Macaca fascicularis: one gene and its partners. The protein of the gene in region 3 purifies or fractionates together with the protein of the main gene of each other region. This does not show direct contact. Links are inferred from orthologs where the notes say so. Each region holds a gene or a part of one and is shown on either strand. Other genes may lie near its edges. The genes, in order: SRPK1, U2AF2, RNPS1, HNRNPC, SREK1, MAGOH and GPATCH8.

Region 1 (3,757 bases), on a different chromosome or scaffold from region 3:
GTAGCCTCCACCTCCCAGGTTCAAGCAATTCTCCTGCCTCAGCCTCTCAAGTAGCTGGGATTACAGGTGCCCACCACCACACTGGGCTAATTTTTTGTACTTTTAGTAGAGATGGGGTTTCACCATATTGGCCAGGCTAGTTTCAAACTCCTGACCTCAGGTGATCCACCCACCTCGGCCTCCAAAAGTGCTGGGATTACAGGCATGAGCCACCATGCCCAGCCTGCATGTTAAGATTTAAGAGATTTCATAGAAATTAAAAAAGTTTATGATAGAAAAAGCCAGATGCAAATTTGTTTATATAGTATGTGATTACAGATAAATATTTTTATGAAGATACAGCAACATAGTGGAAGAAGATTCAGTAGTTTATCAGTGATTATGTTTGGATATTGAGATTCAAGTAATTTTTCTCCTTTGTACTTTTTAATATTTTTCAGATTTATCATGTACTGAAGTTGTAAAGTATTTTTCTAACATGAGGTAAAACTACAGCTAATGTTTTCCTAGGCAGCCACTTGGTAATACTCTGTTCGTATTATCTGAAGATTTAGTTTTTTGTGGGGAGGGCGGCATTTGATAATGTCTTATTTTCTTCTGTCCAAATGGAATGGGCATTTTTGTATCATTTCTTAGATCTGAAACTCAGCACCGAGGCTCTGCTCCCCACTCTGAGAGTGATCTACCAGAGCAAGAAGAGGAGATTCTGGGATCTGATGATGATGAGCAGGAAGATCCTAATGATTATTGTAAAGGTAAGTTCATAAGGAGGTATGAAGTGAGACATGATCCATCTATTTGCAGTTTCTCATTTGGATGTTTGATCTATCAGCATAAACACAGTTTTATTGGTGTTTACTTGTATCCTTTTCTCTAAAACTTAGGAAATAGTATTTGTTCTTAGTCTGACTTAATTTATCAAAGCCTGATTTTATATTAAATGTTTTTACCTTTTTCCTCTTTAAAAGTTATAATACATATTTACCTTAGAAAATTCCAGAGCTGTGTTAAACAGAAAAGAATGTAAAAGCCTTCTGCAATGCTATCAACCACATATAACCATGGTAACATTTTGGCATATAGATTTTTACAAAATACCTTCTTACTACTTTTTTTCTCATAGTGATGGCTGTTAAGTTAAACTGGAATTACAGACACTTAAATGGTGTCATCAGGTTGCCTGTTACCTTTTCTGTTTCTTGATGAGACTTTCCGGAGTCTTTGGGTAGGAACACAAAATGGAATGTATCATACCATCTAGGAGAAGAACGTGGCCCTTATTGTCAGCTGGCAAAGATAAATATGAAAATACCTTGATTCTTGCCACTGTTGGCAGCTTTTTTGAGGCCTTCCTCTGTTTTCTGCTTTTTAGGGTTTTTTTTGTTTTGTTTTTTGAGACAGAGTTGCCCAGGCTGGAGTGCTGTGGAGTCTCAGCCTACTGCAGCCTCTGACTCCTGAGTTCAAGCGATTCTCATGCCTCAGGCACCCACCACCACGCCTGGCTAATTTTTGGGTTTTTTTGTTTGTTTTTGTTTGTTTTTTGTGTTTTTGTTTTTTTGTTTTTGAGAAGGAGTCTCGCTCTGTTGCCCAGGCTGGAGTGCAGTTGGTATGATCTCAGCTCGCTGCAACCTCTGCCTCCCGGGTTCACGCCATTTTCCTGCCTCAGCCTCTAGAATAGCTGGGACTATAATCGCCTGCCACCATACCCGGATAACTTTTTGTATTTTTTCAGTAGAGACGGGGTTTCACCGTGTTAGCCAGATGGTCTCGATCTCCTGACCTTGTGATATGCCTGCCTCAGCCTCCCTGCTGGGATTACAGGCATGAGCCACCTCGCCTGGCATTTGTTTGTTTGTTTTTGTTTGTTTTGAGACAATCTCACTCTGTCGCCCAGGCTGGAGTGCAGTGGCACGATCTCAGCTCACTGCAACCTCTGCCTCCTGGGTTCAAGCAATTCTCCTGCCTCAGCCTCCTGAGTAGCTGGGACTACAGGCACGCGCCATGACACCAGCCAATTTTTGTATTTTTAGTAGAAGACACGGTTTCACCATGTTGGCCAGGCTGGTCTCGAACTCTTGACCGCAAATGATCCACCCTCCTCAGCCTCCCAAAGTGCTGGGATTACAGGCGTGAGCCACTGCACCTGGGCTATTTGTTTTTATTTAGAGGAACAAAATCCCGTTTGCTTACTTGTTTTTGTTTGTTTTGTTTTTTGCTAAATAATTATTCTGTCTCCTAAAAAACACCTGAGACTGTAATTATAAATAGATATATATTAGATATATATGTTTAGATAAACTTACTGGATTATTGAGAGACAAGAATATTGTGATATACAACCTTTTTATTGTTTTTGGATGAGCCTGTTGTAGGCTCAATCTAAATCATTAATCTTATTCACTTTTTTTATAACATGAAGTCAGTAATACTATGTGGCTGATTTGACTATTAAGGCTTTCTTCTGTTGAATTGATTGTATAAAAGAAACTTTTTGTTGATAAAAGGTATATAGATGTTGAAAAATGTGATGTAAAAATGCCTTTTCTTACCATTGTTTCTCGTCCTGGTTTTTCTGATTTCCCCTGTGTCTTCCAGGAGGTTATCATCTTGTGAAAATTGGAGATCTATTCAATGGGAGATATCATGTGATCCGAAAGTTAGGCTGGGGACACTTTTCAACAGTATGGTTATCATGGGATATTCAGTAAGTTTTAGTGGTTCTGTAAAAAAATTAGTTAGATGATGTCTAAATATGTTTGTCTGAGTTTCCACTGCTGATCCAGACTTCAATCTATCTCTAGCCTGATACATTTATCAGAATTTTGTTGTTGGCAATAGTCTCTATATTCTTGGAGAAATCACTTTTCTTTCGTGAAGAATCGGTATTATATATCTCCCTTTCTACTTTAGAGACAAGAGTGATTAAATTAATGCTGGTAAAGCTTTTGTCGTTTGATTTTTTTGTTATTTTTATCGTTTTCTTTTCACCCAAATATTTCTTCTGGCTGCCTGTGGGAAAATATTACAGCTATTAACCTTTTAGTTTTTGCCTATATACAGATACACAGAACACTTGGAATTTGGTAATATCTTTCCCCTTATTTATCCTCATTTTGAAGTTTTGCTTGAAATTCAGGGAGATATTCAAAAGAAGGATTTTAACTCAGAGAAAATGTTCAACAACTGAGATTATCTGAGAACAGATCTTTTATTCTTCCTACAAATGAAATCTGGCCAGTTAGCATCATTAACAAGTACAAATGTTCCCATAGAAGTAGCTTGTTTGGGCTACAGGGAAACATGAAATCAGTATTTGTCCTTTTTAACCATCTTATAGCTAAACCTTAGCTTCCTAAAGTAAGGGTAGGCTATGTAGTCTTAATTGCCTGTGTTTGTTTCTTAGGGGGAAGAAATTTGTGGCAATGAAAGTAGTTAAAAGTGCTGAACATTACACCGAAACAGCACTCGATGAAATCCGGTTGCTGAAGTCAGTGAGTATTAGATTATATGTATGAATGCAAAGAATTATAAATATATCAAGTTTCATTGAATTAAAGCACACCAAGTGGAGACTCCTCAGCATGGATAATTTTCTCTATAAAGTTCTAGTATCCTTAAAGAGGTTAAGGAAGACAACAATATTTACACATTCCATGCATGTAGTAGGGAACTGGTGGGAAATGCTATGATTAGAATTATTACACACATGAACCAAAAAAAACCTTTCAAATGAATAAAAATATTCACTGAGCATGTT
Region 2 (4,548 bases), on a different chromosome or scaffold from region 3:
GCGGTGGCTCACGCCTGTAATCCCAGCGCTTTGGGAGGCCGAGGCAGGCGGATCACGAGTTCAGGAGATCGAGACCGTCCTGGCTAACACAGTGAAACCCTATCTCTACTAAAAATACAAAAAATTAGCCAGGTGTCCCAGCTACTCGGGAGGCTGAGGCAGGAAAATCGCTTGAACCCAGCAGGCGGAGGTTCCAGTGAGCCGAGATCTGGCCACTGCACTCTAGCCTGGGCGATAGAGTCTCCGTCGCAAAAAAAAAAAAAAAAAAAAAGTAAAAAGCGTAAACGCTACCCGCTGGGCTACCCGGACCAGTGAGTGGCGCGAGAGGCGGGACTCGATGACCTCGAGCAGGGGAGGCCACCCAGCGGCCAGGCCAAGTCTGGGGGATTCTTCCGTCCGGCCGCCAGGGGGCAGTAACGCCAGATCATCTGTCTCCCGGAAGGACTGCGCGATCATCCATCTGTTGCGCCTGCGCGACGGGAGGGGCCGGAGCGCGTTGATGCGGTTGCCAAGACAACCAAGAGGGTGGCCGGATTTAACCGTTGGGGATTAAGCACTTTCACTCCAGGAAGGGAAAATCTCGCGCACGCGCAACGGGGACTGAAACCTGGTCCCCGCAACCCCCTTCACCGGAGCAGTGGGAGAGCGCGCCACAGAGACACTTACGCAGGCGCAGAAGCCTGTTTCCCCCTCACCCGCCGCTTCCACCCTGCGCAGGCGCAAAAAGCCGCGCTGGCAACCTCCGCAGCGGTCGCGCGCACCGTTCACCCCTCTTGCTGCTTTTGTCTCGCGCAACCTTCTCAGGCCCTCCGCGAGGCCGGTCCTTTTTTTCTTTCACTTTCCCCACCCGGAGAGCCAGGTGCTGAGAACCGGTACCTCGTCTCCTTCTCTGTATCCCTTCCCCTGACCCACCTCGCCTCCGTCCTCCCTCCCTTTTCCGTTCCCGAAGCCGGAAGGAGCCGAAGCACCCACGAAAAAAGCCGAAGCTGTCCCCGGAGAGTGAGGCCTTCACGAAGCGGTGGCGGAAGGAGCCGAAGTTCTCTGATCTGCGGAGTGAGCAAGTGGCATCTCCGGAAAGAGCCGAAACTTGGACTCGAGCTTAATCCCAGGAGGGGCCCGAGGGCGAGCTCCGGAAATCTCCGGAAAGAGCCGAAGGCCGGGACGGTTAGGATTGTCGGAAGTGGCCGATTGCTTGGACAGGGCCGGCGGAGAAGATCGGAGGAAATCCGTGGAAGCAGCCAAAGACTGGGACGGATTGAATTGTCGGAAGAACCCGAACTCGCAGAGGGGGCTGGGCGCAGTGGAACACGAGGACACACGGAAACCTCCGAACGTTGAGGAGATAATTTTGGAAAAGTTACGGAAACCTGGGAAGTCGGCGAAACCCTACCTTCGGGTGTTTTCGGAAGCAGTCGCAGCTGCCATCTGCGTCTCCTTCGTCCAGTGTCCGGAAATAGCCGACGCGCTTCGGAGCCAGGCTCGGGGGGAGGGGCAAGCTCGCGGGCGGGCGGGCGGGTGAGGGGGCGGAGCCCGGGCGGGTGGGGAGGGCTGCCGGAGGCTTGATTAGGTAGGAGGTGGCGAAGCGCCGGCGGCGGCCGGAAGTAGCCGAAGCCAGCGGCGGAAGTAGCCGAAGCGGCCGGAGCGGGCGGCAAGGCGAGGCGAGAGCTGCACAGGGCCCTACGCGGCCGCCTCAGCATGTCGGACTTCGACGAGTTCGAGCGGCAGCTCAACGAGAATAAACAAGGTGAGGGCGCCGGGGTCGCGGGGCGGAGGTGTGGGCGGCTCCTCGCGTCGCTCTTTGCCCCCCCGCCATTTTCTCCCTCGCTTCCCCCCACCTCTCACGGCCGTGCGACCCCCCCCAACCCCGGTTCCGTGGCGCGCGCCTCGTTCACGTGACATCCCCAGCGTTCGGCCGCGCGCTAGGCGAGGGGAAGGGGGCGGCAGGGCGCGGGCCCATGACGCATGCGCACGGCGGCTGTCCCCGTGCCCCACGTGGTCCTGCCGGAGGTGGCTCGGGGGACGCGGCGCGAGTGCGCCAGGTACCTCGACGTGAACTTTTGTTTTTTAAAATCTTTTTGTATTCTCTGAAAAGGAGATTATGTTAGGCCCCGTAATCCGTTCTTTTTCTCCCGCTGCCTTGGCACTTCCGCTTCCGGTCGGGCCCACGGCCGCGTCTCCACGCCCCCTTTGTTTCCAAAATGGCGGTTGTGAGGACTCGGGGGGGCCCCCCTTTCCCTCCTTCACGTGGATGAGGACAGAGCTGTTTCGGGGGACTCTTGGAGGCCACGAGCCCGTCTCATACCCCTTTTCCTTTTTGCTGATTTGCTGCGACCTCTTCTGCCAGGTGGTTTCTGCCCCGTCTGTTGGTAGTGGGGCGCCTCATATTAACGTGTTGGGCGCATGTTCCCTGAAGCATCTGCATTCTTTGAGTGTCGGCACGCACACATCCTGCATATGCGGAACTTTTGGCGGTCCCGAGAATCGCGATATGGAGTGTTTGAGACAAACCGCAAATCATGTAGGATCCCAAACTCGGGGCACCTGATAATACTCAGCCTCAGATCTCGATGTAGAGATAAGGAAACAGGTTCTGAGGGAGGAAGAGGGATCTGGCCCACTGCGCTAAACTCTTCACTTAACGGGGAAGGTGGGAGGCAGGTTCCTTTCAGGGTATCGAGAATGTGATGGGTGAGAACAAAAAGCGTGGGGCCCTGCTGATCTTAGGGATTCCGAGAATATTAGAAGTGGGAGAGTTGTTCCATGTTTCAGTTTGAGAGTGAAGAAACACAGGACTAGGGAAGGTTGGGGACTTGTTTCATTTCTTTTGAGGCTTCAGCTGCCCATGATCCTAGGTCGTTCGGAGGACGAAATGAGGGCTAAGGAATTTTCCTTTGAACCCAGGGGCTGTATTAGGAAACAGTGCCCTGGGGAAGAAATAACGTTTACTGAGGGTCTGACTCTGTCTTAGGTGATGGACTGTTCAAGAGCATAGGCTTTGGAGTTGAGCACATCAGGGATTTAGATACTTGCTTTGTTGGTTAGTAACTACTTTTAATACGTTTATCTTTCTTTTTTTTTCCTATTTGTAGACTGATTATTATTTTTTCTCACTCGGTTTTGAGAAGATTAGTAAGGATTATAGTAACGATAGGTGTAGTTAAACTCTGAGCGCTTATGTGTGCCAGGCTCTTCGCTAAACTCTTAGCGTGATTTTATTTAGGGGATCCTTGTAACAGCCCTGTGAGGTCAAAATGATTTCCACCTCTACTGGGGAGGAAACTGAGGGCTCAGAAAAATTAAAAACTTTCTCAGGGCTCAGCTAGTCAGAGGCAGAGCTGAGATTAAATGGGGTAACGTAAAGTGTGTGGCATGTGGCTTGGTGTACACTAGGTGTGCAGTAAGCGATATTTGCAATTGTAAAATTCCATGCTTAAAGAGGAGGGTCTTCCACTCACAGAGATTGTGTCACAGTTGGGAAAGGGCAGGAAAAGGTGCTTTCCAAATGTCATTCTGTCACACAACACCTGAGTGGAGTAGATGTGACCCTCGTTTACAGAGAAAAAACCAAGTCTTAAAGGTTAAGTTGTTTTTGCATGGTTTTTGTTGGTAAGCAGAAAAGCAGGTACTGATTCTGAGCTCTGGCTGGCTGCAAGGCCAGGTTCCACTCTGCTGGGCCACCAAGTGGAGCTGATCGGGCCGTTCTTTGAGGCTCTCAGATGGTGCTTCACTGGTTCTCCCGGGGTTTCCCCCTTGGTGCTGATAGGGCCCTCCCTGAGACCTGGCACGGCTCCTGGGTTGCCGGAGCTGCTCCCATAAGATGACCACAATACAGTGTTTTGAGCAAATGAAGCTCTCTTGGTTTTTACCTGTCCAGCATCAGTGTGTGGGAGAGGGTTCTTGTCATAGGGGAAGCTCTGCCCACGTGTCACTCTGCCTGTGGGTCTTTGTGGAGGACGCATCAGCCTCTGTACCTGTCGGCTTCTGCTTCAGTCCCTTCCTCTGCTACCTGTGTCGATAGGGAATTTCCTTGTCTGTGTCCCAGGCACCCAACGGGCGTCATTGCTTTCTCTGCGTGGCTTCCTCTCTGCCTGCTTGCCTGTTTCAGAGCCTTAGCAGCAGGAAGGGCTCTTGGGGCTCACAGCCTGTCCATCTTACAGGCGTGGAGTTGTGCCCAGTGCCGTGCCTGCGTGCTTACCCTGCTGCTCTGCACTGCTGGCCTGTCCTGCCAATTGTTCCTCCCAATTTCAGTTTTTGATTTTGGGGTTTTTGGCCTTCGAGGGGACAATTATATTGTCATTAGTGGTTCTAGCCAGACTTGAGTGTTCTGCCTGATCCACATTCAAGAGTATGACTTGGTGCCTAACTCACTGATGTTTTAGTGTTTACGTTCTGGTATCACCATTTCCTAGCTGTCTGGCCTTGGGCAACTGTGATCTCTCTGAACCTTAGTTTTCTACCCATTAGGTCAGCCCCCCGCAGCGTTTTTCCGAAACAGTAGTGAGGATTAAGAACAAACAAAGCTATTTAGTACAGAAGCATCTCAGTATT
Region 3 (4,329 bases):
AGCACTTTGGGAGGCCAAGGCGAACCTAGGAGCGAGCACTTTTGGAGCGAGCCTGAAAGCCTAGGAGCGGATCACGAGGTCAGAAGTTCGCGACCAGTCTGGCCAACATAGTGAAACCCAGTCTCTAATAAAAATACAAAAAATTAGCCGAGTGTAGTAGTGTGTGCCTGTAATCCCAGCTACTCGGGAGGCGGAGGCAGGAGAACCGCTTGAACCCGGGAGGCGGAGGTTGCAGTGAGCCGAGATCGCACCGCTGCACTTCAGCCTGGGCAACAGTGCGAGACTCTGTCAAAAAAAAAAAATTCCGCCGCGTCAGTGTGGGGCGTTGACGCGGAGCCTCCTGCCTGGGCCCCTACAGCGTCACCCCCTCCTCTGTGCCTGCCAGAGGCGCCACCTCTGGACTCTCCCAGAGTCGGACCCTGGTCGACAGTGTTCCCTGCTCGGACCCTGCACCGGCCGTTAGATGAAGCCTCGGCGCTGCGCCGTTCACACGCTCCGTGCTGCCTCCACTGAGAATTTGGCGCGGGCCTGCGAGCCTGTGCCCCGGCCTCCCTTCCCTGCTTCCAGCGAACCTCGGCGTCTGCTGTTCCCCCGCCGGGCGCGCCCTTCCACTCTAGTCTCAGCGGCAGTGTCACCTGCCCGGAGACGCCCCCCGTTGCACCCCATCTCCCATCCTCAAGCTCGTTGCTCTTCCTGCCCGCACAGCCCGCCTGCAGCGCCCACCCTGGAGGTCCGCCTGCGCGGAGGCCGCGTCCACGAGAGCACCCCAAACGCCACCAGTGGGTTTTGACCGCAGGAACGCAAGTCCTGCCCCAGCCCGTCTCTCCGAGCTACTTCCGCCCTGCAGGCCCCCACGCCCCGCCACGCAAGGCCGCAAAGGCTGCGCACCCCTCCTGTGCGACCACCCTGCCGCCCTCAGCACAGCCGGGCCTGGAGCCCCGCCTCCACCGCCGGCGACAGGGGCCAGAATCGGCCCGGGCGGGTCCAGGGAGCCCGCGCAAGGAAAGGGGCGGGGCACGGCCGCGATAACACCCTCCGCTCCGGACGACGAGCATCGGTTATCGCGCGGCCCTCCCAGGCTCAGCAGGCTACCCATGTGCTCGCTCCAGCAAGCGTGCAGCCAGTCCGGTCAGTCCCAGGGACTTTACCGGCGAGGAGACACCCTGAACGTCCCCAACGCGGCTACCACAAACTGCCTTGACTGTCTAACACTTCCCCGCCGGCGCCCATTGGGCCAGGCGTTTACGTCATCGCTACGCGCCGGACGGCGGCGTCTTCCCGCTCCTTGACTCTGACGTCAGAGCGGCGCCGGCCTCGGAGGCTGAGGAAAGCAGGAGGAGGTGGTGGCGGCGGGAAGATGTAAGTTGGGGCGGAATCCGACCGCATCCGTGTTTCGGGGGCTGCCCGTCAGGCCCGGCAGGACGCATCGTGAAGCCGGTCCACTTCTCAGCCCCGCAGTGCGGCGGTGGCCTGGCAGCGCGGTGCGGGCTCCGAGAAGAAAGAGTGTGGCCCGGGGCGGGCGGAGTGGGAGGTGTCGAGGCCGTGGCCCGGAAGTGATCGGGGCCGCCGCGGACGGAAGGGCGCCTCTGCTTCGTCCGCTCGGCGGTGGCCCAGCCAGGCCCGCGGGACTCGGAGCAGCGGTGAGCGCGGCCTCCGTTCTTGGGGCCCTCCCGCCGGGCCGGAGACCCAAGCCCCCAACGCCAGGCGCTGCCCTGGAAGCGCTTGCGGCCCGGCGCCTGGACGGGGAAGTTGTGAGTGAACGCGGACGGGGAGCGGCGAGGTCGGCGTGTCGGGCCGGTGCCGGCGGGCGCGGAGTTTCTTTGTGGGATGCGGTGGAAGGTCGGCCGATCCATCCTTCGGAGTCATTAATTCAAACGTGTACTCCGCGAACGTTTCCCGGACTCCCGTGTGCAATTGTCGGCGCTAGGCCGTGGGGATACGGCCCACTATGGACCGAACACGGTGTCCGAGCTCAGTTTGATGGGTTATCCCAGAGGGGTGGATACGGGAAGGTTAAGGTTGATGGAGGAGAAACGTGGAGTAGGCTTTTTGTCTTGATTTCTCATGAACTGTGCCTGAAATGTACTCTTAAATGGGGAAGGTGCTCTGAAGATTTATGCCGAAACGCCCTCTCCTCGAGATTTAACTAATTGTTCTCTCCTCTCTCTGGCTGTTGGACGCGCACCTTTCCGGAGGATGGGGGAGGTAACCGAGGTCCTGAGCCGGTACCTGAACTTGGGTGAACAGAGAACCTCAACTTTTGCTTTCTAGCACTCGACCGCACCCAGCGAGCCGTCCGCTTACTCAGTGGTTCTTAGTGTTTGGACTGCTTGAGAATAACTGGTGGTGTTTGATTCCACAAAGTACATTTGGGCAGATCTTTAAGTCTGGGGGGGTGGGGCTGAAATCTGCGGGTGTGACCTCCACTCTAGGTCTGTGCTGTCCAGTGAAGTAGCCATTGGCCACATGTGGCTACTAAGCATGTGAAATACAGCTCATCAAAACTGAAATGTTAAAACACATACCAGTTTTAGAAGACTATGAAAAAAAAGTAAACTTTTATTAGTAGATTTTTATGTTGATTATATGTTGGAAAGATAATATTTTGGATGTGTCAAGTGTTAAAAATTTCACCCATTTTTGTGATGTGGCTACTAAGGAATTTCAGGTGATGCTTGTGGCTCCTCACACTGTTTCTATTGGACATTTCTGCTGCAGGTGATCCTAAGGCAGATGAGTGCAGGAACCCTGCTGAGAGTTCAGAAATTACGTGTGACTTTGGAGACAAATGTCTGGGGGAGGGAGGAGCCTTTACAAATCTTGCTCCTAACATTATTGAGCTTTTCATTAATGCCCTGGGTAACTATAAAGTTGGAATTGTAATTGTCACCATATTGATAAGAAACTTGAGAAAGGTTAAGTGACTTGTCGAAAATTACACCGTAAAACCTCAAATCAAACCCAGGCCCTCTGGTTGCAGACTCTGAATTATACTCTGAATGATACTCACTGACTGTCCGAGGACACCAACAGTGTCGAGGCACTATCTGCTGGGTGTCTGCAGAACCTTACTATTCTAAAGCAAAACATGATACCCCCGGACAAGAGCAGCAGAGGTGGTGTTCGGCCCTCCTTGGCTCATTTGACTGTTTAAAGCCAGGTGCTTTTCTTTCTTGGGTCAGAACACGTTTTCAGCAGCATTTTGAAGCACCCCTGGCAGGTACTGCACAGGGAAACCAGGACCCCATTGGTGTGCTGTGTCCTCCTTACCAACTGGCTCTTGGAGAAGGTGAGACAGAAGTAGCTGAGACTCACATCCTGAGAGCTGCACTTAACAACTCCTGCAGCTTGTGCAGAACTTTACTGGAAATACTGAAGGCGTCCCTGGAAAATAGGGCCCATAACTAATTAGTTTGCTTTTGAGTAATGAGTAACCGCTATTTGAACACATTCTGCAGTCCAGGCATTTTGCTAAACTCTTACATGGCAGGCAGTCTCTCATGCAATTTCAGTGCCTACTTTTTTTTCATCTTATTTTTGAAAAATTTTTAAAGCACAGGAACGTCAAATTATACAATTAATACCCACATAAAGACTACTTAAGGGCCAGGTCTGGTGGCTCACGCCTGTAATCCCAGCACTTTGGGAGGCCAAGGTTGGCAGATGACAAGGTCAGGAGTTGGAGACCAGCCTGGTCAATATGGTGAAACCCTGTCTCTACTAAAAATACAAAAATTAGCCAGGCTTGATGGCAAGCACCTGTAGTCCCAGCTACTCAGGAGGCTGACGCAGAAGAAACGCTTGAACCCAGGAGGTGGAGGTTGCAGTGAGCCAAGATCGTGCCACTGCACTCCAGCCTGGGTGACAGAGCAAGTCTCCATCTCAAAAAAAAACAAAACAAAACTCAGAGGTTAAGAGTCTGTAAGTTATATTTCTGCTGTATTTGCTAGATGGTTTTTATCAATCTTAGTTTTTCTTTCAATCTTAGTTTTTCTCAATCTTAGTTTTTCTTTCAAAGTAAATTGCAGACTTGCATGTATTTTCCCCTACACTCAATATGCATATTATTAAAGTACAGTGCAATTACTGCTTTTTAAAATGATTCTTCTGCTTTTTAAATGTTCATATGGTACGTTTCATCTGTTTGCTTTTGGGTATTAAGTGTTTTAATGCTGGTACCAGTCACTTTTGAAATGATTTTTGCTTCCAGTCACATCCGTGTATCCTAAAGGCAAATTGCCACAATAAAAGAGGAGATCTAATCCTATCTGGAGACCACCCTTGAGTTAGGTTTTTCTCTGTTCTGCATGTGAATGTGGTGCTGTGGCA
Region 4 (3,757 bases), on a different chromosome or scaffold from region 3:
CTAATATTAAGTGCTTTCCACAGCTTCATTCAATATCTGCTTTCCTACAGAATTAAATGTATAGTTGGCCCTCCGTGTTCGTGGGTTTTACACATGCAGATTCAGCCAACTATAGATCGAAAATACTAGTAAAGAAAAAAAAATTAAAAAGTAACAATACAAATAAAAGTAGTTACAACTATTTACATACCATTTACATTTTATCAGGTATTTTAATGTAGAGATGATTTAAAGTATACAGGAGAATATGCATAGGTTACATACAAATACTATGCCATTTTATGTAAGGGACTTGAGCATCTGCAGATTGTGGTATTCACAGCTAAATAGACTGCTCTGTGCGGGGAAAGAGGCCCTACAGTGAAGTGAAAAGTAGACACTTGATTGTGGACTAATTTTTCCAGTATTTCCCAAAAACTTACAGCTAACAACATAATATTAAACATGTTTTATTAGCATCTTATACATCTGACACTCTCTCCTAAGCATCCAGTTTATTTTCTAGTCATGGGTTACTTACTAAAAGTCTATGTAACATGAGCTCACATCAGATCAGAAAACATCAAGTGGGTAGTATTTTTGACTGAATTAACATACAAAAGAAATTGCCTATATCATGTATATGGGCTCCAAGGGTAGTTCATAGTTCAGCCTCTTCATTCTTTTCTGCTTTTGTCACCTGATATAGAAAATGATCTATAAAATCCTTATAAATAAGACATGAGTTTCGCCTGTAATGAGTAGGATGAAAAAAGGCCAGTGCTGCATGCTATGAAACAATAGCAACTTTATAGGGGAATCCAAGGTTTGTGTGCACAAAAATTATAAACGCCATTTTCTGCTGTGCTGGAAAAACTGAAGTTTAAAACACAAATCAATTAAGCCTTTCAAGGATGAGGTATCACAACACTGGTAGCTGTTTAATATATTCATTTTAAGTAAGACTGGATGCTAAAAATACAATAACTGTAATTAATAAAGTTGAGGGAAAACACAAAGATCAGCTAATAGGGGTAAAAGATCATTTAGGGTAAAATAAATGTAACATTCTTTATGTTCTCAATCACCTGGGAAGGCAAGACTGTGGAGTATCAGGAAATAAGAGTTTTCTCGTTTTCAGTAACATGGAGATATACACTTCAGAATTCAGAAGGTAACTGAGGCTATAAATAGTAATTAAAAGAACAAAACAGAAGAAAGCAGGGAGTTCCATTGTCCAGCTGTTGCAATTTTCCTGAAATCTTGTTTTTGAGTCTCTCCTATTTAAGGACAAAGCAATTTAGCACACAACAAAAACCTCAAAAAGGGTGCCAGTTGGACCACAAAGCACTGAACTTTCATTAGGATGTAAAAGCCATTTTGAAAAACAATCGCCACTGTATGTCAAGTTATTTGACTCCTCAATGCAACATGCAACTCAATGAAATATAATTTGAGTAGTGTTGTGTTGGTATGTATCATGATTATGACTCCAAGAAAAATGTATCTAGTACATTCTAGAGGTTTTGTGGAGGACGCTGTAAAACAAAGTTTGAAGTAAACAATAATAAAATACAAAAATAAAAAACCAGGGTTTTTTTTCTCCAAATTCCTGGTTTAATAAGGACTTGTTTATTTTGAGGAAAAAAGGTCCCAAACATCAGGCTGTTCACAAAAATAACCCACAGTATCAACTTTAGAAAACAAATCTTAAGACTATAACACTAATTATTTTTCTAGAGGATGCATTTGACATGCCAACTCTCATTCACAAAAATACATTGTTACATTTGTGTTGAACTGCCCCACACAGCACACTAATGTGGGGGTGTAACACACATACTTCTAACTCAAAGCTGCTTTCAGAAGCTACTCAACTAAATGAGATTGCCTTTGCAGTTAGGGAAGCAACTACTGAACTTATGTATGAATGAAAAGAACTGTACTCCCTGCATAACAAGAGATTATTTTGGAGACAGTTGATAAAAACCATACATCCTTTTTATTGTTAAGTCATAAAGAGGTATCAAAATTAAAAGCAAAAATTACAGGGTAAGACTTAACAAAACTACTAGGAGCGTCAAAGGAAGTGAAAATGGGACTAGGCGCGGGGCAATATGAATTAATGAACATGGGAAGGACAAGGATGGGGAGAACAGTGAGCATGTGCTGAAGATACTAGGGGAGAGGATCTGGTGAAAAATTTGATCTTAGACAAGCGCCTAGGTAAAGAAATAATGGGATAAGATTTCTAAACCCCACTATGTGCTTAAGAGTCATCCTCGCCATTGGCGCTGTCTCTGTCATCCTCTCCTTCCTCAGCCTCTTTTTCATCATCCTTGATCAACTCCAGCTGTGAGAAACAGACACAAATAGGATGGAGTTAGAGGCACTCCATGTGTCCCTGAGCCCCCCTCCACCACCTTTTTCTTTCCTTTCCCGTGGTTTTCACCTGGTCATCCCCCCGATCTTCATTATCATCATCATCCAGTAGGTCCCCCTCCTCAGCAGAGTCATCTGCACCCCCCTCAGACTCCATCTTCACATTAGTCTCATCTTTCTTCACGGAGCTGCTGCTCTGCTCCTCTTCTGACTTATCGTTCTTCATCTCTACTGGGGATGAGAAGGACAAGTCTGTCTAGGGGCAGTAATGTCCACAGGATGTAGACAATCCCCACTAAGGATCACAGAACTGCAGCACAAATCTAAATCCTCCCACACAAATACCCTTCCCAATTCACACTCCCCAAGTTTCATATTACATTGCTTTATATTCCACTATTCCAACATATACTTTAAAGTGCCTTACGTAACTAACCCAACTATATACCCAACAAGCAGAAAACCCATTTACCTGCTTGTTTGCTCTGTTCCTTTTCAATTTTTTCCAGGTTTTCCAGGAGAGAATCCACTTTTTGTTTTATCTGGGTCAACTCCTTCTTAATGGCCTGAAGGTCATCTCCTTTCACTTTAACATAAACAAAATAATGGATTAAAATCAAATGTACAGAAGATATGAGTTAGCAAATACACTGGCACTAGACTACATCAGGAGCACCCAGGGAGAAACAGAGCCAGTACAGATTTCCCTGTAATAAAGGCCCTTGGTTCTACTATAAAGCTTATAACTACTTACTGTAATTTTTTTTTTTTTAGTATCTTTTAGACTTGGGTTATCGCTACATTGCCCAGTTCTGAGTGCAGTGACTATTCACAGGTATGATCACAGTGAACTCCTGGCCTCATGCAATCCTCCCACCACAGCCTAGATCCCCAGGGTCTTAGCCTCCCCCTAAGCATCTGGGGCTACAGGCGTAAGTCACTGCATCAGACCTTCTGTTGTTTTACTGCCTTCCATATTTCCAGTTACAGGAGTTCAATACAGAAAAGTTTAAAAATCAATATATTGAACACTATCTGAATTTTAGTTTTTAAATAACCCACAAAAAAACCCTCAGAAACTTAACACACACCTCAACTAAATAAAGTCAAATGACATCTTTCAAATCACCTAGCTGTTGCAGTCTAGAATTGGCCACTCAGTCACAATCTCGTCTCCTCCATTATTTTGGATTTTTAAAATTATTTTTCTTGAGATGGAGTTCGCTCTTATCACCCAGGCTGGAATGCAATGGCACAATCTCGGCTCACTGCAACCTCTGCCTCCTAGGTAAAAGCGATTCTCCTGCCTCAGCCTCCCAATTAGCTAGGATAACATGCATGCACCACCATCCCTGGCTAATTTTTTGTATTTTCAGTAGAGATGGGGTTCCTCCAT
Region 5 (4,455 bases), on a different chromosome or scaffold from region 3:
GTTCTAGATATTATTCTTTGATACTGTACCAAACTTACATGTGGTAGTTTCTTAGCCTGCATTGCAGTGTGGACTGAATCTGAAACCACTTCAATTAAGTACTGAAATCCAACAGTCTATCTTGCACATACCAGAATCTTTTTGCCTTTGTAACGGCACCCACTGGCCATTTGAATAATAGGTGTCCACTAAGTTGTAAAAATCACAAAAATGTTGACATATTTCATTATATAATGTCAAAAATAAATTGTTAATATCATGCTTCTCTTACTAGAAAAGTCTCTAAGTACTGGAAAGCTGTCAAGCTTAAGTTGGTGGATACAAGTGTAACAAAATTTGTATTTTCCCGTGAAAATTCAGAGCTACACTAGTGCTTTTTCCGGAGACAACCATTTCACTTGGGCATGTAGCGGCAGTAGTTTCCATTTTTTCACACATATTCTTTAAAAGACGTGTATGCAAGGATGGATTTGAAAATATATATATAATTTTTAGTTCTTTATGAAGGACATTTTTAAAGTGAAACTAGCATATTTTAAAACCTGAAATGTTGTATGATGTGAAGAATACAAAATGCAACTACCAGTACAGACTGGCGCCACTGCCTTGATTGCTGTTAAGGTGTCAGCAGTTTAATCTTTCACGTTACTAGTGCAAATGTCAACAAAGTGAAAAAGGTCAACAAACTCTTAATATTATTATGAAAATCGTTTTGACCTTGCCAACCCACTGAAAAGGTCTCGGTACCCTTAGGGATCTGCGGAGGGCATTTTGGGAGCAGCTGCCCTGGACTCACTACTGTTGTCTCTCATTAGTTTGCAAGTTCTATGTGAACTGTCTGTAACGTGCCCTTGCCTCATAGTGCCTGGGACATAGTACTCAATAAACATCAATACCTGTGGAAAGAGCGAGTAAATACAGGTTATAAACCTTCATCTTACTGCCTCTTTCCTTAATTCAACCTGAACCTACACATTTTGTAAAATTTTGTTTTTTTCACAATTAGGACGCTTGCCAATTTTTTTAAATAGTTGGAGTTGGGGTGCTGCCTGTATGTGATAAGGATGCCCTATAGTTTGGTCAAGTGTTTTTCTGTGTTACCCAAGAGTCATTCCTCCTTTACAGTCCCGCACCAGCAGGCCAGGCCGCTTGGTTTCCCAGTCCGAGACCGGAAGGAACCGGGTAGACAGGAGCACAAGATTCGCATCGACTTTTGGGGAAAACAAAAACACCGAAAAACAAAACACTCGCGGAGAAACCAGCAGCAGCAACAGCCCCAGGCACCCGGGAGCAGGAAGCCGCAGCCCCGCGAGACCCGCCGGGTTGCCGGGGCGACGCTTCCGGCTGGCGCGCGCAGCCCCGGGAGCAGGGGAGTTGTGAAATGGGCGGCTAGATCTGCCCGGCGCTGTGAATTCGCCAGCGGGAGCGCGCTCGCGGCCGCGCGTTCTCCGCTTTCCCGGTTCCGTCGCTGACGCGTCGTAGACGTTGGGGAGCGGGAAGGCAGCGGCAGCGGGGTCGGGATGAACAGCGGCGGCGGCTTCGGTTTGGGCTTAGGCTTCGGCCTCACCCCCACGTCGGTGATTCAGGTGACGAATCTGTCGTCGGCGGTGACCAGTGAGCAGATGCGGACGCTTTTTTCCTTCCTAGGAGAAATCGAGGAGCTGCGGCTCTACCCCCCGGAGTAAGTGCTGGTGCTCGGCTGGGGGAGGGGCGCGGGCGCCATAGAGACCTCGGGAGCCGAGGCGTGGGGGAGAGCGCGGACGCGGGCGCGCGGTGCGTGTCACGTGATCGCCCGGGCTTACCTTAGTGCCCATATTTGATTACGGCACCGAGTTCCGCCGTCCGGCTCTCCTTACTAGTCGGATTTGGGGGGTTAACTACTGCACGGAGCCCTTACCAAGGATTTAGAATGGTTGCCCTTTCCGTGCCTCCGGGACTTGTGTTAGCTCATGGGTCTTCGAATTCCGTGCCCCCTCCTCCTCATTTCCCCCCGAACTTAAGATGGCCGCAGGTGGGCCCGGAACAGCCTTATGGCAAACGCCTCATCGCGTTTTTGCACTCTGAAAATCGCGGGGACCGCGCGTGAGCCACTGTCCGGTTTTTAAGGCCTTGGTGTCAGGCCGTTTTGCTGACGAGAAAGCCTGCTGCTGATGACAAGATGGAACTGGGGCTGTATTTGTTTCCCAGGACGGTCACACAAAACTTAGCATCTTGATTTATCTAACCGAGCGCATCCATGTTCCCAAAGATATGTCTGTTCGCCGTTTTGGCAACAGATTAAATTTTTCTCCTGAAAGGTCACACTGTCCCAGAGCTTTCAGAAAAAGTGTCAGTCGGTGCAGGGTTATCCCTGCCGTATACATTTAAAATCCAGATCTTGGCTGGCATTCACGGCTCGCGGCCACTTCCCAGATGGTGTATTTTGGAATGGTAAAATTTCCCTCGTACGATATTATCTATTTAGAAAACTCGCAAGGGGTTTGCAGGTTGTTCACATTCTTGCACACATAAACATTTTTTTTTTTTGATAGTAGATCTTACAGTATTAAGATCCTCTGTTTTTTGTTCGTTATATCAAAATCCTTTGAGGGAAGGGGTAATTGTTACCCAAGATTTCTTCCTTTAAAAAAGAAATTGATTTATTTCCTAGTGATGCATTTAGACCTGTTTTTCTTTAGTTTTCTATCTTAGGTTATAACAGTGCTGCTGCATAGCTATGTAAAAGTTGTGTGGTTATTTTTTACTTTTTAAGTTTTTCTTGTCTGCTTTTTGTTTTGGAATATTTCATCCATACAGAAAAGTTGAAAGAGTAATACATTGAACATCCATGTTCCCTTCACGAGCATTTTGTCTTTTTTTGGCTACAGTTGATTATTAAAATTTCCCCAGTTATTCTAATAATGCTTTTTTGTCTGTTTTTGATGTAGTATATAATTAGATATACTGTCTCCCTTGAATATGCCAAGTAATCCACGTATTAATAGTTATCTCCTTTAATCTGGTACAGTCCCGTCACCTTTTAAAACATTTGAAAGTCGTGACATTGACATTTTGTTCTGTAGTTCATTTTGTCTTGTAAAATGACCCATAATCTGAGTTTATATAGATGAGATATATAGAGATATGTGCATATATATCTCTCTCTCTTTATATTTCTTCATGACGAGATTCAGGTAGTACATTTTTGACGAGAATACTGCATAAGTGCACGCACATACATTTTGATTGATTAACCATGGCATTATTGCTTTAATTAACTTTTGGAAATGCTTTCAGCCATCTCAATTTAAGCTCTCAGAACATTTCTTAATAATTGAGAATTATTTGGGGTGAGTGCCGTATCCTGCAGGCATTGGAATCAATCAGTAAAATATTTTGTACATGAACCTTTGTAAATCTTGCTTTCAAGGCTGTGGTAATATGGTATCTCATAGGTAGAAGAAATACATTGCAGAATGTTCTTCATTATCAACATAACATTTATTTGGTTGAAACCTGGGTTTGGGTGACAACACATTACCAGTTATTAACTGACAGTAATGGGCTACTTTTTTGAAATCAGGTGTTATTACTTGGAGTTTAAAAGTCAAAGAGAATAAAAAGTACTTAAACATATGGAAGATTACGGTAGTGTGTGTCACAAACTGTAACACATAAAACAAAATTATTGCATACATGTAACATATATGGGCCAGGCAAAATCCTTAACTAGTTTTTCCGTAAGTGCAATACTAGATCCCTCATTCATGTTTTAAAGCAGTATTAACATGCTTTATTCACAGGTTTTCTGCTTCGTAATGAAGTTGTCATTGCCTGGTCCTTATATTAGAAGACGTGTTTGCAGATTTGGACCGAAATGGATAAAAATTGCAATAGTAGTAGTTGTATTGAAAATATATTGTTTTACAGTGTCACATAAATTATTTTATGACATCTTTAGAACCGAGTAGAAAATCGTTTTAAAATTGGAAATATATTCATATATTTATTTGCATATATATATTTCCAAGTATATTGGAAATACAGTAATAGAATGTGAAAATAGTTTCTCATTTAAATTTTATGATTGAGCCAGGTGTGGTGGTGTGCACCTATAGTCCTAGCTACTCAGGAGGCTGTGGTGGGTGAAAGCATAGCTTGAGCCCACGGTTTGATTCCAACCTGAGTAACATATTGAGATCCCTATCTCTTAAAAACAAAAAATGACTAAGTTGCTAATATGAAAATTCAGATTTTAAACTTAATTCTTTTGGCATGATGCAGTGATTGAGTTTCATCTTTATATTTTAAACGTTAAGAATTTTTTAAGGTTAGGGAATTCTTGTGAACATTCACTGTAAGCATTAATTTTTATTTGCAATTTGTCATCCTTTTTTTGTGCTGCCAGTTGATAAATATGTAGAATTACTATTAACTTTTTGTATGATAAATCAATCTCACAGCTTGTGAAAACTT
Region 6 (4,374 bases), on a different chromosome or scaffold from region 3:
TGGTTTTTTTCCCCCACCACACCTACTCTACACTCTGCTGCTAATGCTTTTTCAGGGAGAAAAGGACTCATTGTTAAGACTGGGGGCCATGCACGGTGGCTCATGCCTGTAATCCCAGCACTTTGGAAGGCTGAGGCGGATGGATCGCCTGAGGTCGGGAGTTTGAGACCAGCCTGGCCAACATGGTGAAACCCTGTCTCTACTAAAAATACAAAAATTAGCTGGATGTGGTGGCACGTGCCTGTAATCTCAGCTACTTGGGAGGCTAAGGCAGGAGAATCACTTGAACCCAGGAGGTGGAGGTTGCGGTGAACTGAGAACCAGCCGTTGCACTCTAGCCTGGGCAACAAGAGCAAAACTCTGTCTCAAAAAAAAAAAAAAAGACTGGGGGTAGGAATCAGAGACTGCTGTCCCGACTTACAGAATCTTATACTGTTCTAGTTGCCAGGCCCCAAGAATGATGTCATCTCAGCACTGTCTCTAGAACCATTCATTCTCTCTAAGTGTGGAACTTAGACGAGTGAGAGCAGGCTCCTATTAAATAATTATGATCTTGATTGCTCTGGCCCTACTCAACTGTAAATTTTTTCCAGAGCCAGAATGGCTTCACAGAGGACAACTTTGCTCTGAAAAGAGTCTCTTTGGTCAGTGGTCCTCAACTGAGAGCTTTACAAAGAGTACCAATGCCCAGTTCCAGCGCTGGAGATTTTAATTGGCTTGGGGTAGAGCCCTGGCATCAGTATTTTTAGAGGCTCCCCAGGTAATTCCAATGTGCAGCCAGGCTGAGAATCACTGCTCGGTAAGTGGGATGACTGGGGAGTGGGAGATCAAATACTCTAACTTCTCACAGCACCTATTCTAGAGATCAGTGGGGCAGAAAGATAGAAATAAAAGGTGGAAAAGGACGAAATGGGTAAGTGTGGGTGAACTAGTTCCAGGGAAACGGCAATCTCCACTGTGGATTCAGGGAAGGCGTCACTGAGGAGGGCTTTCTTAACAGTTCAGGTCAACGGAAGCCATCTTGAGGCACACACATCGTGCGCGGCATCCTCCGGGAAGGTCGGGTCATTTCACCCCATTTTACTGCCGAGATGACCTAGGTCCAGAGACGGTAAAGAGCGGTGTACGACTCACACAAGTCGGGGGTCCTGTGAACTGAGGTTGAGCCTGGCGGGGGCAAGGCTCGGGGTGTTCGGTCCGAGATCTTTAAGCGAAGTCACCAGACCCCGCGTTCAAAGCCCAGAGGTAGGCAGGCGGCTGGCTCTCGGCCTCAGGCCGGGAGAGAACCCAGCGGGTACCAACCTCAACCTCGCTCCCGCGTCCAAGTGGAGAAGCGGAGCTGGTTGGCCCCGCCTCCGGGTTAAACAAAGTTCGTTACCTCCTAGGCGTGAGAGGGTGTGGCAGTCTTGTTGTCACTTCCGGGCGAATAGGTTAGCTAGAAGGAACCCCTCCATTACGCGACGGCGTAATCTGACGTCACTTCCGCGCGCCGCCGCAAACGTCAGTGTCGGGCGCAGACCGCAGCAGTGCGGCTTGCTGTTGGAAGTTCAGGCTCGGTTGTCTTTTGGGAGCCATGGAGAGTGACTTTTATCTGCGTTACTACGTGGGGCACAAGGGCAAATTCGGCCACGAGTTCCTGGAGTTTGAGTTCCGACCGGATGGTAAAAGCAGCCTGCCGCCCGCCCGGAGCGGGACCAGGCCTTGGGGCGGGCGAGTGGGGAGGCCGAGGGTCGGAAATCTGTGGGGAACTAGAGGAGGAAGGGGCTGAGACCTGTGCAGTGCGGATCTGAAAGGAGCGCCACTGTGTCTGCTCCACGGCGTCGTTTTATCCATACAACAAACGTTGGCTGAACGCCCACTGTGTGCCAGGCTCTGTTCCACTCTTTGGGGATACGACAGCGAAGATAGACAAACTTCCTCTCTCGTGGAACTTGTGTTTTACTGCTGGGAGAGAGATCATAAAAAGATGATTCCGGATAGCAGTGAGTGGTCAGAAAATATGGTAGAATCGCTGGATGGGCTGCTTTTAGATAGGTTGGCCATTAGAGAGCTCTAATGGTATATTGCAGCTGAGCCCTAATTAGCAAGAAGGACCCAGCCTTGTGAAGCTCACAAGGAAGACCATTCTACCCAAAGGGAATACCAGAAGTCAAGGCTGCAGGGCGGGAATGAGCTTAGGCATGTCTCAGGTGGTCAGTGTGATTGAAGAGTGGTGAGCTGGGAGATGGCAGGAGATGATGTCGGATAGGTAGTAGGAGCCGCACCTTGTAGATCTTTATAGACCAGGGTAAAGAGTTTGGACTTGGAAGGCTTTTTTAATTTTATTTATTTTTTTTTTTGAGACGGGTTTCGCTCTTTTTGCCCAGGCTGTAATGCTATGGCGCGATTTCGGATCATTGCAACCTCCGCCTCCCGAGTTAAAGCGATTCTCCTGCCTCAGCCTCCCGAGTAGCTGGTATTACAGACACCCACCACCACGCCCGGCTAATTTTGTATTTTTAGTAGAGACAGGGTTTCACCAGGTTGGCCAGGCTGGTCTCGAACTTCTGACCTCGGGCGATCCGCCGGCCTCGGTGTCCCAAAGTGCTGCGATTACAGGCGTGAGCCACCGCGCCTGGCCGGGCTTGGAAGGTTTTAAGCAGAGAAGAAATGTGATCTGTTCTTGAAAAAGCATTCTGGTTATTGGGTGCGGAATGGGCAACAGTGAAAACAGGGCTATTGATTAGGAGACTGTTGTCAAGACAAGAAAGATGTTGGGGGCCAGTCGCAGTGGCTCACGCCTGTAATCCCAGGACTTTGGGAGGCCGAGGTGTGCGGATAACTTGAGGTTAGGAGTTCGAGACCAGCCTGGCCAACATGGTGAAACCCCGCCTCTACTAAAAATACAAAAATTAGCCGGACGTGGTGGCAGATGCCTGTAATCCCAGCTGTTCGGGAGGCTGAGACAGGATAATCGCTTGAACCTGGGGCGGAGGTTGCAGTGAGCTGAGATAGTGCCAGTGTACTCCAGTCTGGGTGACAGAGCGAGACTGTGTCACAAAAAAAAAAAAAAAAAAGATGTCGGTTGGGACTACAGAGATAGTAGAAATGGAGAGAAAGATTTAGGAAACTGTTGGAGGCAGAATCAACTGGACTTTGATCGTTGATAGGATTTTTTTGGCGGAGGCACTGTGGTGAAGGAAAGAGGAATCAAAGATGACAGAAAACATCCATTAAGCGGGCCACAAAGATGTATCTGACAGGCCCCGACTGTGAGGGAGATGGATTTGTAAGCAGGGACCAAACAGCGTATTAGGTGTTGTGGTAAAAAGAAACAGAGGAGACTTGCAGCAGAGAAGGGGCACCTAGCCAAGCCTGAGGGTCAGAGGAGGCTTCCTACATAAAATGATGGGAGGAGGGGATGTGAGGTATTGATTAGGAGACCAAGAAGAGTCAAGAAGGCATTTTAGACAGCATGCAAAGAGGCTGAAAACCAAAAAGTGCTTGGGATGTTTCAGGCAGAAACCAAGTTGTTCGACTCCAGCTGTGTGAGAGAAGAATATTGCAGGAGTGAGGCTGGAAAAGCAGGCAGGGGCTTTGCTTAGCCGTATGCCATGTTGAGGAGTTTGGATTTTTTTTTTTTTTTTTTGAGATGGAGTCTTGCTCAGTTGCCCAGGCTGGAGTGCAGTGGCGCGATCTGGGTTCACTACAAGCTCCGCCTCCCGGGTTCACGCTATTCTCCTGCCTCAGCCTCCTAGGTAGCTGGGACTACAGGCGCCCGCCACCACGCCTGGCTAATTTTTTACATTTTTAGTAGAGACGGGGTTTCACCGTGTTAGCCAGGATGGTCTCGATCTCCTGACCTCGTGATCTGCCCGCCTCGGCCTCCCAAAGTGCTGGGATTACAGGCGTGAGCCACCGCGCCCGGCCGGATTTTAACCAGGAAGGCAGCGGAAAGCCATTGACTTTATCAAAGTATTAGAGTAACCTAATCTGATAGATCTGTTACCACATCACCTTGTCCACTATATGGACAGTGAACTGAATGTGAAGAAACTTGAGGCAGAGAGACAGCACAGAGACTGTTGGAATAAATTCACTGGGCTCATCTCACATGTATGTCTTCTAGTCTACATGTCTTCTGTTTCCTTCTATCTTCTCCTCATCCCCACCATGTATTCACATTAACCTGTTAGACGCACACATGGACAAAGGGTCTTGTGTACCAAATGTGCTCAGTGATAAAAGCAACAACTTTTCCATCACAGAAATAGAGTGTGGCACAGTCACATGATAATATATGTAAACAGCATCCTACAGTTTTCAAAATGTTTTCACAACTCATTTGAGCCTCAGGAGGTCCTATGTGCTGGTAAGTTATCATTTACTCTGCCT
Region 7 (3,757 bases), on a different chromosome or scaffold from region 3:
GTGATCTCAGCTCACTGCAACCTCTGCCTCCCAGGTTCAAGAGATTCTCCTGCCTCAGCCTCCTGAGTAGCTGGGATTACAGGCGTGCGCCACCAAGCCCAGCTAATTTTTGTATTTTTAGTAGAGATGGGATTTCACCATGTTGTTCAGGCTGGTTGCGAACTCCTGAGCTCAAGCAGTCTGTCCGCCTTGGCCTCCCAAAGTGCTAGAATTACAGGCATGAGCCACCGCGCCCGGCCTGTACTTTATTTTATTTTATTTTTTTTGAGAGGGAGTCTTGCTCTGTCACCCAGGCTGGAGTACAGTGGTGTGATCTCGGCTCACTGCAACCTCCATCTCCCAGGTTAGAGTGATTCTCCTGCCTCAGCCTCCCAAGTAGCTGGGATTACAGGTGCGTGCTACCATGCCCAGCTAATTTTTGTGTTTTTAGTAGAGACAGGGTTTCACCATGTTGGCCAGGCTGGTTAGGAACTCCTGACCTCAAGCAATCTGTCCACCTTGGCCTCCCAAAGTGCTGGGATTACAGGTGTGAGCCACCACACCCAGCTTTTTGTACTTTAGACAGCTTAAGAAAAAACAGTAATAACTGACTGGCCCTGGGAATTTGGCAGGTTAACAGAATGAGTCTTTGTCTAACCTCCTCTGAGAAAGTCGCGTTTGTTAGTATAGGACTAGGGAATATGACCACCACTCACTGTCTTTGAGACCTACCTATAATGAATGATAGGATATAAGAGATTAGTATTTTATAAGGTTTATGGAATGTAGTCCTAAACCTGCTTTTTCTTTGCTTTTTATTTTTCTAAAATGTCATGTAGTGCACCTGGAAGTGGTCCCATGTTCAAACCAACCACAGTGGCTGTAGATGAAGAAGGTGGAGAAGATGATAAAGATGAATCAGCTACAAATAGTGGCACAGGTGCCACTGTTTCTTGTGGCCTGGGATCTGAATTTTCCACAGATAAAGGAGGCCCTTTCACTGCAGTACAAATCACTAATACCACTGGACTGGCCCAGGCTCCTGGGTTAGCCTCCCAAGGCATCAGCTTTGGCATTAAGAATAATCTGGGGACCCCATTGCAAAAATTGGGAGTGTCATTTTCTTTTGCCAAGAAGGCTCCTGTCAAACTCGAATCAATAGCATCAGTTTTCAAGGACCACGCGGAGGAAGGGACCTCTGAAGATGGAACAAAACCTGATGAGAAGGGTTCTGACCAAGGACTGCAGAAGGTAGGAGACTCTGATGGGAGCAGTAATCTTGATGGTAAAAAGGAGGATGAAGACCCTCAGGATGGAGGGTCCCTTGCCTCAACATTATCCAAATTAAAAAGGATGAAGCGAGAAGAAGGAGCTGGGGCTACGGAGCCGGAATATTACCACTACATCCCCCCAGCACACTGCAAAGTAAAACCTAATTTTCCCTTCCTACTTTTTATGAGAGCCAGTGAACAAATGGAAGGTGATAATAGTACACACCCAAAGAATGCCCCAGAGAGTAAAAAAGGCAGTTCTCCCAAGCCTAAAAGCTGCATCAAGGCGGCAGCAAGCCAAGGAGCAGAAAAGACAGTTAGTGAAGTCTCTGAGCAGCCGAAGGAAACCAGCATGACCGAGCCCTCAGAACCAGGAAGCAAACCTGAGGCAAAGAAGGCCTTAGGAGGGGATGTAAGTGATCAGAGTTTAGAGAGTCATAGTCAGAAGGTTTCAGAGACCCAAACGTGTGAGTCCAACTCTTCTAAAGAAACCTCTCTGGCCACCCCAGCAGGGAAAGAAAGCCAAGAAGGACCCAAACATCCTACTGGTCCCTTCTTCCCAGTTTTGAGCAAAGATGAAAGCACTGCCCTCCAGTGGCCATCAGAACTATTAATTTTCACCAAGGCAGAACCCTCCATTTCATACAGTTGTAACCCTTTATATTTTGACTTTAAACTTTCAAGGAACAAAGATGCCAGAACTAAAGGGACAGAAAAACCAAAGGATATAGGAAGCTCCTCAAAGGACCATCTCCAAGGCCTAGATCCTGGTGAGCCAAATAAAAACAAGGAAGTGGGCGGAGAGAAAATAGTACGTTCCTCAGGAGGCAGAATGGACGCACCTGCTTCAGGGTCTGCCTGTAGTAGCCTGAACAAGCAGGAGCCTGGGGGTAGCCATGGGTCTGAGACAGAAGACACAGGGAGAAGCCTTCCCAGCAAGAAAGAACGATCTGGGAAGTCCCACCGGCACAAAAAGAAAAAGAAGCACAAAAAATCCAGCAAACACAAACGTAAACACAAGGGTGACACAGAAGAGAAAAGCTCTAAGGCAGAGTCGGGGGAGAAGTCTAAGAAGCGCAAGAAACGAAAACGAAAGAAGAATAAGTCATCAGCCCCAGCAGATTCTGAACGAGGACCCAAACCAGAACCCCCTGGGAGTGGCAGTCCTGCACCTCCAAGAAGGCGGCGACGAGCTCAAGATGACTCCCAGCGGAGATCCCTCCCAGCTGAAGAGGGGAGCAGTGGCAAAAAGGAGGAAGGTGGGGGTGGTAGCAGCTCCCAAGACCATAGTGGGAGGAAACACAAAGGTGAACTTCCGCCTTCATCCTGCCAGCGAAGAGCAGGCACCAAACGAAGCAGCCGGTCTAGCCATCGGAGCCAACCCAGTAGTGGAGATGAGGATAGTGATGATGCTTCCTCACACCGACTGCACCAGAAGTCTCCATCCCAGTACAGTGAGGAAGAAGAAGAAGATTCAGGCAGTGAGCATTCCCGCAGCCGCTCAAGGTCAGGCCGGCGCCATTCCTCACATCGTTCTTCCCGGCGTTCTTACTCAAGTAGCTCAGATGCCTCTTCAGACCAGAGCTGCTATAGTAGACAGCACAGTTACTCAGATGACAGCTACAGTGACTACAGCGACAGATCACGAAGGCACTCCAAGCGCTCCCATGACTCGGATGACTCAGACTATGCCAGCTCCAAACATCGATCAAAACGGCACAAATACTCATCTTCTGACGATGACTATAGCCTCAGTTGCAGCCAGTCCCGAAGCCGATCTCGGAGTCATACCAGAGAGCGCTCAAGATCCCGGGGCCGCAGCCGAAGCAGCAGTTGTAGTCGTAGTCGGAGCAAGCGGAGAAGCCGTAGCACCACAGCCCACAGCTGGCAACGGAGCCGGAGCTATAGCCGGGACCGCAGTCGCAGCACCAGGAGCCCTTCCCAAAGATCAGGCTCCAGGAAGGGATCATGGGGTCATGAGAGCCCTGAGGAGAGGCATTCTGGGCGTCGGGACTTCATTCGTTCTAAGATCTACCGCTCCCAGTCCCCCCACTATTTCCGATCAGGCCGGGGAGAAGGTCCTGGGAAGAAAGATGATGGCAGAGGAGATGACAGTAAAGCAACAGGTCCACCTTCCCAGAACAGCAACATTGGCACAGGAAGAGGGTCAGAAAGTGACTGCAGTCCTGAAGACAAGAACTCTGTTACTGCCAAACTGCTACTGGAGAAGATTCAGTCAAGGAAAGTGGAGAGGAAACCTAGTGTGAGTGAGGAGGTGCAGGCCACCCCTAATAAAGCTGGGCCCAAGCTCAAGGACCCCCCACAAGGTTACTTTGGGCCCAAGCTCCCCCCATCTCTTGGCAATAAGCCTGTCCTTCCACTGATAGGGAAGCTCCCAGCTACCCGAAAGCCCAATAAGAAATGTGAAGAGTCTGGCTTGGAAAGGGGGGAAGAGCAAGAACAGTCAGAGACAGAAGAGGGGCCCTCAGGGAGTAGTGATGCCCTAT

What was found.
Region 1: the proteins of RNPS1 (region 3) and SRPK1 purify together in Homo sapiens (co-immunoprecipitation; 5 studies listed by BioGRID and IntAct, counting the BioPlex papers as one, with this or other methods). This does not show direct contact. The link is inferred for Macaca fascicularis from reciprocal best matches to the Homo sapiens genes RNPS1 and SRPK1.
Region 2: the proteins of RNPS1 (region 3) and U2AF2 purify together in Homo sapiens (co-immunoprecipitation; 6 studies listed by BioGRID and IntAct, counting the BioPlex papers as one, with this or other methods). This does not show direct contact. The link is inferred for Macaca fascicularis from reciprocal best matches to the Homo sapiens genes RNPS1 and U2AF2.
Region 4: the proteins of RNPS1 (region 3) and HNRNPC purify together in Homo sapiens (co-immunoprecipitation; 3 studies listed by BioGRID and IntAct, with this or other methods). This does not show direct contact. The link is inferred for Macaca fascicularis from reciprocal best matches to the Homo sapiens genes RNPS1 and HNRNPC.
Region 5: the proteins of RNPS1 (region 3) and SREK1 purify together in Homo sapiens (affinity purification with mass spectrometry; 3 studies listed by BioGRID and IntAct, counting the BioPlex papers as one, with this or other methods). This does not show direct contact. The link is inferred for Macaca fascicularis from reciprocal best matches to the Homo sapiens genes RNPS1 and SREK1.
Region 6: the proteins of RNPS1 (region 3) and MAGOH purify together in Homo sapiens (co-immunoprecipitation; 3 studies listed by BioGRID and IntAct, with this or other methods). This does not show direct contact. The link is inferred for Macaca fascicularis from reciprocal best matches to the Homo sapiens genes RNPS1 and MAGOH.
Region 7: the proteins of RNPS1 (region 3) and GPATCH8 purify together in Homo sapiens (co-immunoprecipitation; 4 studies listed by BioGRID and IntAct, with this or other methods). This does not show direct contact. The link is inferred for Macaca fascicularis from reciprocal best matches to the Homo sapiens genes RNPS1 and GPATCH8.

Annotation. Positions count from the first base shown.
Region 1 is NC_088378.1:135,782,499-135,786,255, forward strand, and holds part of SRPK1 (SRSF protein kinase 1), read left to right. Parts: intron 1-608; exon of another isoform or gene 609-610; coding exon of another isoform or gene 611-636; coding exon 637-755; intron 756-2,595; coding exon 2,596-2,704; intron 2,705-3,403; coding exon 3,404-3,491; intron 3,492-3,757. UniProt on the Homo sapiens protein: Serine/arginine-rich protein-specific kinase which specifically phosphorylates its substrates at serine residues located in regions rich in arginine/serine dipeptides, known as RS domains and is involved in the phosphorylation of SR splicing factors and the regulation of splicing.
Region 2 is NC_088393.1:63,608,398-63,612,945, forward strand, and holds the start of U2AF2 (splicing factor U2AF 65 kDa subunit), read left to right. Parts: upstream 1-1,619; 5' UTR 1,620-1,695; coding exon 1,696-1,744; intron 1,745-4,548. UniProt on the Homo sapiens protein: Plays a role in pre-mRNA splicing and 3'-end processing. By recruiting PRPF19 and the PRP19C/Prp19 complex/NTC/Nineteen complex to the RNA polymerase II C-terminal domain (CTD), and thereby pre-mRNA, may couple transcription to splicing.
Region 3 is NC_088394.1:3,040,472-3,044,800, reverse strand, and holds the start of RNPS1 (RNA-binding protein with serine-rich domain 1), read left to right. Parts: upstream 1-1,299; 5' UTR 1,300-1,357; coding exon of another isoform or gene 1,358-1,359; 5' UTR 1,360-2,551; exon of another isoform or gene 2,552-3,289; intron 3,290-4,329. UniProt on the Homo sapiens protein: Part of pre- and post-splicing multiprotein mRNP complexes. Auxiliary component of the splicing-dependent multiprotein exon junction complex (EJC) deposited at splice junction on mRNAs.
Region 4 is NC_088381.1:88,872,725-88,876,481, forward strand, and holds the end of HNRNPC (heterogeneous nuclear ribonucleoproteins C1/C2), read right to left. Parts: intron 2,948-3,757; coding exon 2,834-2,947; intron 2,593-2,833; coding exon 2,432-2,592; intron 2,333-2,431; coding exon 2,249-2,332; 3' UTR 434-2,248; downstream 1-433. UniProt on the Homo sapiens protein: Binds pre-mRNA and nucleates the assembly of 40S hnRNP particles. Interacts with poly-U tracts in the 3'-UTR or 5'-UTR of mRNA and modulates the stability and the level of translation of bound mRNA molecules. Single HNRNPC tetramers bind 230-240 nucleotides.
Region 5 is NC_088380.1:71,863,168-71,867,622, forward strand, and holds the start of SREK1 (splicing regulatory glutamine/lysine-rich protein 1), read left to right. Parts: upstream 1-1,443; 5' UTR 1,444-1,520; coding exon 1,521-1,681; intron 1,682-4,455. UniProt on the Homo sapiens protein: Participates in the regulation of alternative splicing by modulating the activity of other splice facors. Inhibits the splicing activity of SFRS1, SFRS2 and SFRS6. Augments the splicing activity of SFRS3.
Region 6 is NC_088375.1:181,434,052-181,438,425, forward strand, and holds the start of MAGOH (protein mago nashi homolog), read left to right. Parts: upstream 1-1,503; 5' UTR 1,504-1,573; coding exon 1,574-1,661; intron 1,662-4,374. UniProt on the Homo sapiens protein: Required for pre-mRNA splicing as component of the spliceosome. Plays a redundant role with MAGOHB as core component of the exon junction complex (EJC) and in the nonsense-mediated decay (NMD) pathway.
Region 7 is NC_088390.1:65,460,785-65,464,541, reverse strand, and holds part of GPATCH8 (G patch domain-containing protein 8), read left to right. Parts: intron 1-818; coding exon 819-3,757.